Linked DNA regions of Macaca fascicularis. The protein of the gene in region 1 binds, or shares a complex with, the protein of each later gene. Links are inferred from orthologs where the notes say so. Each region holds a gene or a part of one and is shown in the gene's direction. Other genes may lie near its edges.

Region 1 (3,751 bases):
TTCTGAGCTCAATTATTTCTCCTTGTATTTTCCCAATTTTATATCAGGAAAGATGATTCATTCCAAAGGACAATGCACCACACAAAATGTGTTACATAGACTTCTCATAAAGGAATACCTCTAGTAAACTATTATAACTACTCTACGTGCACTTGCTGTTGATTATTGCCATGTTAGAACTATTTGTTCGCTTCTTTATTTAGTATGGTTATTATTTCCATCTTCCAGTTTTATTTAGCTATTCGAGTGTGCATGTGCCTGCAAAAGAAGCTCTGAAAATAAGTTAGTTGAACCTGAGAAACCATTTTGAATGACTGTATGACTAAATCTTTTTTTTAAATTAAAAAAAATCACAATTACCCAGACCGTTTTGAGCATTACGCCCATTTTCTCTCCCACTTTATTTTTAAAGCAATTAGAGATATTGAACCCTAACAAAATGTAGTCGAGTTTAATATACTGCGAGGGAGGGGCTGGCAGTAATTTTCCTTTAAATATTTAATCTGAACATAAATCTGTTATTAAGGGTAGGGGGAAAAAACCTCACATAGATAATTTTAACTGTATTTTGAGGTTTAAGCAACATAAAGTCTTCCAACCCCAGTCCCCTTTCTTCTTCCGCCCCTCCCCGACCCCACCCCATAATGGATGCTCGGCAGAATGCTTCTGCACGGTCTCTTTGTCTAAAGGATGCAAACAGTCTACGGATGCTAGAGAAAAAGGGGTGGGGGAGAGATTACCTCATCCCACGTCGTTTGCACCAATCACCAGTCTCCTGTCCTGGCTTCTCTGGGCAGATTGGGGGTCTGGACCAACAGGAACAGGCCCCGGCCCATCCCCATGGTGACCGAGTTGTATATATGGAGCCGCATCCGCCCATGTGCCGCAGGTTCTCTTACATCGACCGCCTAAGAGTCGCGCTGTAAGAAGCAACAACCTTCTCCTCCTTGTCTCCGCCATCTGCTCTGCAGTCGCGAAGCAGCAACCATGGTGAGAATCGGCTTTGGCTCTTTGTGGCCGTTGGGTGGAGTCAGCGCCCCCAGGCTCTGCTTGGAAAATCTTTAAGCTCTTTTCTTTCGTAAGCTCTCTGGGCGAGGGTGGTGGTGTGTTTTGTGAGGTTTAGCTTTACCCCAAATCCTCCAGCTCCGCCGCCGCCGCAGTGCGGGTGCAGGAACCCGGCCAGGACTGCGCCCAGGGCGCTGCAGAGCGCTGGGGAGGAACAAAGGCGGCGCCTGGGCGCCTGTGTTGTCCTACAGCCTTTCGGGGTCGCGGGCAGCCCGTCTGCCGCGACCGAGGGGTCTCGGGCGTCCCGGCTGGGTCCAGTGTCTGTGCGCACGGTTTCGCAGACGCCGAGGGGCCCCTTTCTGTCTCGCCTCGTTCTCTGGGGACCGGGAGAGGAGGAGGCACCCAAAAAGAGCGGGGGCGTTGGGCGAGCTGGGGGATGTGGGAGGGGGAACGGGAACAAAGCGCAGCCTGGGGTTAGCGTGGGAAGACCCCTCGCGGTCGTTGGCGTTTTGGAAAGATAACCACACATTCCCGGGGAAACATGGTGAGTTTCTACTGGAGCCCCGGGCAGCGGGTGTCAGGGCGGCGCAGGGGCGGGGTTGTTTGTTTCTGGCTTCTATGGCGTTGGAGCCACTGGGCGGGGTTCGCCCTCACTAAACCTCCTCTGTCAGGAGCTGACTTAAAAAAAACTTTTCATCATTGCGGAACTGTAGGCTCCAAAAGGGTTTTCTTCGCTATTATAATTAAGATGACCTTTTTTTTTCTCTTGAGCAAAATCACAATTCACTTGACAAACTCTTTAATGTCTGGTCTGGGGACGCCCTGCCCTGACCGACTGAAGTGTGTGTGTGTGTGTGTGTGTGTGTGTGTGTGTGCGTGCGTGCTGCTCGTTCAGCGAGGGAGAAAGCCTACTTTGTGAGCCCCAGGGTACCCTGATGGTCGTGTGTGTGTGTGTGTGTGTGTGTGTGTGTGCGCGCGCGCTGCTCGTTCAGCGAGGGAGAAAGCCCACTTTGTGAGCCCCAGGGTACCCTGATGGTCAGGACCAGGGAAACGCCCTTCCCCGCCGCCCCCCTCCGCCCCGCCCCCACCACATCAGCGAATAGACAATGAAAGTGGTAGCCCTAAAGACCACAGAGAAGAAAACCTCTATTGGATGCAAAGAATATGAATATTATGTGGTGGGTAGAGAATCTCAGGATTAAAATACTATTTTGTTGTTTTAAATAAATATTTCACTATCGTTCCACTGGGCTTTTATTCTTTGTTTGCTACCTTTTCATGTGATGCTTGTTTCTAACTTAGGAAGGTGTGTGTGTGTGTGTGTGTGTGTGTGTGTGTGTGTGTGTGTGTGTGAAGATACGGATAATTTTTCAGCTTTTACAGTGGAGAAGATCTGGAAAAACCTTTTTCTTTAAAAAAAGGAATGAAATTGCTACAGACAAAGAAGAATTATACTCCCCATCCCGTTGTCTTTTGTTCTAGTGCATCTTCATTAATTCATTTCAATTCAGGCACATGGTCCCGGGCGGGGTCAGAGGAGGAAAACTGGCAAAACAGCACAATGAGATCATGTAGGCAGTTGCTGGAAATAGAGCTTGCTCTGTTAAATAATGTAGCAGACAGTACAGGCTAGCACCAGGCACAGCAAATACAGCAATGCAGCAATGCAGAAGGCAGAAGCAGACCTTGTCTAAACCCCTTGTATTGATGGATTCTGCAGACAGACTGCAGAAGGGTGTGGCTTCTTGCCTCAGCTGCAGTACAGATGTCCATGTTATAATATCAAGTCAGTCCTATTCAGAAGAAACTTTCTTCTTTATTTAAAAGGGAAGAAAGCAGTAAAATTAATCCCAATTATGTCATAATTGAATTTACTTCATTTTACAAAATTTGTGCTTTGAATACTGAATACTTTTTAAATATGAAAAGTCTTCTATTCAAGCATGGTAGTAGGCACAATGGGCTGGTACCATGTGCTGAACAGGGCCAAGGCGACATCATTATTCAGACCACACCCATATGCAGCATTTGCAGCAGGTCATTTTCCTTAATCTTTGTATCGTGCTAGGGATGTGACCTCAAATAATTTTGAAAAATATCTGTATATTATTAGAAATATTTTTAAAAGTTTACTAAGAGTTTGAAATGCTAATACGCCTTAATTTTACAATTGTTTCACTTTTCCTTCCCACAGCGTGAGTGCATCTCCATCCATGTTGGCCAGGCTGGTGTCCAGATTGGCAATGCCTGCTGGGAGCTCTACTGCCTGGAACACGGCATCCAGCCCGATGGTCAGATGCCAAGTGACAAGACCATTGGGGGAGGAGATGATTCCTTCAACACCTTCTTCAGTGAGACGGGCGCTGGCAAGCATGTGCCCCGGGCCGTGTTTGTAGACTTGGAACCCACGGTCATTGGTGAGTTGACCTCAGTAACCCAAGTGAGATCCCAGGATGCTGGGACAGGAGGTCTGTCCTGGGGGGCTCCGCTAGTCACCCACTCACCCACTCCCTCCATCCTTCTCTCCCTCCTTCTCCAGATGAAGTTCGCACTGGCACCTACCGCCAGCTCTTCCACCCTGAGCAGCTCATCACAGGCAAGGAAGATGCTGCCAATAACTATGCCCGAGGGCACTACACCATTGGCAAGGAGATCATTGACCTTGTGTTGGACCGAATTCGTAAGCTGGTATGTTTCTTTTCAAGAATAAAGTAAATTAATGAGCCTAAAGAACACATTTGAAATA
Region 2 (2,482 bases), on another chromosome or scaffold:
GACCAGCCTGGCCAACATGGTGAAACCCCATCTCTAATAAAAATACAAAAATTAGCCAGATACACTGGCACACACCTGTAATCCTACCTACTTGGGAAGCTAAGGCTGGAGAATCGCTTGAACCCAGGAAGTGGAGGTTGTAGTGAGCCGAGATCACGCCACTGTACTCCAGCCTGGGCAACAGAGCGACACTCCGTCTCAAAGAAAAACAAAAAAAGGTATGGCTCACATAGCACTTTGCCATACTGGGGAGAAGGAGGATTACAATGTTGGATAGGTCTAATGAGAGTTCTTTTTTTTTTTTTTTTTTTTGAGATAGAATCCTACTTTTATTGCCCAGGCTGGAGTGCAGTGGCACAATCTCGGCTCACTGCAACCTCCACCTCCTGGGTTCAAGCGACTCTCCCTCCTCAGCCTCCCAAGTAGCTGAGACTACAGGCACCCACCACTACCCCCAGCTAATTTTTGTATATTAGTAGAGATGGGGTTTCATCATGTTGGTCAGGCTGGTCTCAAACTCCTGACCTTAGGTGATCTGCCCACCTCAGCCTCCCAAAGTGCTGGGATTACAGGGGTGAGACACCACACCCAGCCAGAGTTCTAATAGGTTGTTAGTTGCACTGACTGGAATTCAGTCAAATGATATATTGGATTCAACCGTTTTTTAATACCATGTGTTAGGTCAGTGTGCTAGGAGCTGGGGATACAGTGGCGAATATGGCATTTTACATATAATGAAGAAATCTGTTACATGCTTTTTACGTTCATGCCTGTGGAGCTTTATTGAGAACTAATGTGCAGTGTACTTTTTCTGCCATTCCTGCAATCAGTGACCCTTCCCTGCTTACTGGAATCTTTGTCTTACCTGCTTAGACATTGCACTCGCCTGATTCCGTCTCTGATTGCTTCTCTGGGGTCCTCCTCATTCCCAGTTACAATCCTCACAAACCAGGTCTTTCCTTTTGGCCTGACTCCATTTTGCAGGCTTCAGCTACTACTTCATGTGGACAACCAATCCTTCTGAGCTCTCCTCCAACAAGTTACACCTCCAGTTTTCTACCTGTTATTTGCATTAGAATGTCTCATCTTTTCTTTTCTTTTTTTTTTTTTTTGAGACGGAGTCTCGCTCTGTCGCCCAGGCTGGAGTGCAGTGGCGCGATCTCAGCTCACTGCAAGCTCCGCCTCCCGGGTTCACGCCATTCTCCTGCCTCAGCCTCCCAAGTAGCTGGGACTACAGACGCCCGCCACCTCGTCCGGCTAATTTTTCGTATCTTTTTAGTAGAGACGGGGTTTCACCGTGTTAGCCAGGATGGTCCTGATCTCCTGACCTCGTGATCCACCCGCCTCGGCCTCCCAAAGTGCTGGGATTACAGGCTTGAGCCACCGCGCCCGGCCCTAGAATGTCTCATCTTTTCTTCAAACTCAGTACATCTAAACCTGAGCTCATCATTTTTCCTATCTGCTCCCAACTCTTTACTCCCCTCATCCCACTCTATACCTTCTCCTATATTCCTGGCCTGTTTCTGTCAGTTCTCACTAAGAAAACTTAGGAGGATCAAGAGCCTGGGGAGTCTTGCCCCATACCATTCTTCTCTTTGCAGATGTCTGAGATTCAGATAAAACCAGATGGGGCCGGGCGTGATGGCTCATGCCTATAATCTCAGCACTTTGGGAGGCTGAGACAGGTGTATCACTTCAGGTCAGGAGTTCAAGACCAGCCTAGCCAACGTGGCAAAACCCTGTCTCTGCTAAAAATACAAAAATTAGCTGGGCATAGTAGCACATGCCTGTAATCCCAGCTACTTGAGGGGCTGAGACAGAAGAGTCACTTGAACCCAACAGGCAGAGGTTGCAGTGAGCTGAGATCATGCCACTGCACTCCAGCTTCTGTGACAAAGTAAGATTCTGTCTCAAAAAATAAAACAAAAAACACAAATAAAACTGGATGGAATAAGGCGATGCTACTGAAGCTAACCACATCAGCAAGGCTTTCTGTATAACCAGGTTGTCCTGGATATGGTTTCTCTTTTGCAGAAATTGCCATACAAGAACCCAACTCACCTTGCTCAGCAGCAGGAACCCTGGAGTCGGCTCAACTCAACCCCCACAGTTACTTCCATGAGGCGGGATGCCTACTATTTTGATCCCGAGGTATCTAGCATTGAAATATTCCTCTTTGCAGCCATTTAGGGTTTTTTTTTTTTTTTTTTCCTGTCACCCAGGGTGGAATGCTGTGGCCTGATCATGGTTTACTGTAGACTGAACCTCCCAGGCTCAGGCAATCCTCCTGCCTCTGCCTCCTGAAACTATAGGCATGTGCCACGACATGCAGCTAATTTTTTTTTGAAGAGATGAGGTCTCAATATGTTGCTCAGGCTGGTCTCAAACTCCTGGCCTCAAGTGATCCTCCCATTTCAGCCTCCCAAAATGCTGGGATTATAGGCACGAGCCACTGCACCCAGCCCTTAATATTCTTTTTGAA

The links.
Region 2: the proteins of tubulin alpha-1A chain (region 1) and CFAP276 are in contact, whole or in part, in a cryo-EM structure (PDB 7UNG), measured with the Homo sapiens proteins. The link is inferred for Macaca fascicularis from reciprocal best matches to the Homo sapiens genes TUBA1A and CFAP276. Residues at the interface, in NP_001257328.1 of Homo sapiens: Lys112, Glu113, Ile115, Asp116, Leu117, Leu119, Asp120, Arg123, Lys124, Asp127, Arg156, Ser158, Val159, Asp160, Gly162, Lys163, Leu195, Glu196, His197, Ser198, Asp199, Tyr262, Pro263, Arg264, Trp346, Lys430, Asp431, Glu434, Val435, Val437; in NP_001231954.1 of Homo sapiens: Pro43, Trp44, Arg46, Leu47, Asn48, Thr50, Pro51, Thr52, Ile53, Thr54, Ser55, Arg57, Arg58, Ala60, Tyr62, Asp64, Ile67, Pro68, Lys69, Asp70, Asp71, Phe74, Arg75, Lys90, Ser91, Leu94, Leu95, Asn96, Lys98, Thr99.

What each region holds. Positions count from the first base shown.
Region 1 is NC_088385.1:56,001,677-56,005,427, reverse strand, and holds the start of tubulin alpha-1A chain, read left to right. Parts: upstream 1-885; 5' UTR 886-987; coding exon 988-990; exon of another isoform or gene 991-1,546; coding exon of another isoform or gene 1,547-1,549; intron 1,550-3,199; coding exon 3,200-3,422; intron 3,423-3,544; coding exon 3,545-3,693; intron 3,694-3,751. UniProt on the Homo sapiens protein: Tubulin is the major constituent of microtubules, a cylinder consisting of laterally associated linear protofilaments composed of alpha- and beta-tubulin heterodimers.
Region 2 is NC_088375.1:125,240,719-125,243,200, forward strand, and holds part of CFAP276 (cilia- and flagella-associated protein 276), read left to right. Parts: intron 1-2,034; coding exon 2,035-2,151; intron 2,152-2,482. UniProt on the Homo sapiens protein: Microtubule inner protein (MIP) part of the dynein-decorated doublet microtubules (DMTs) in cilia axoneme, which is required for motile cilia beating. May play an important role for the maintenance of myelin-axon integrity.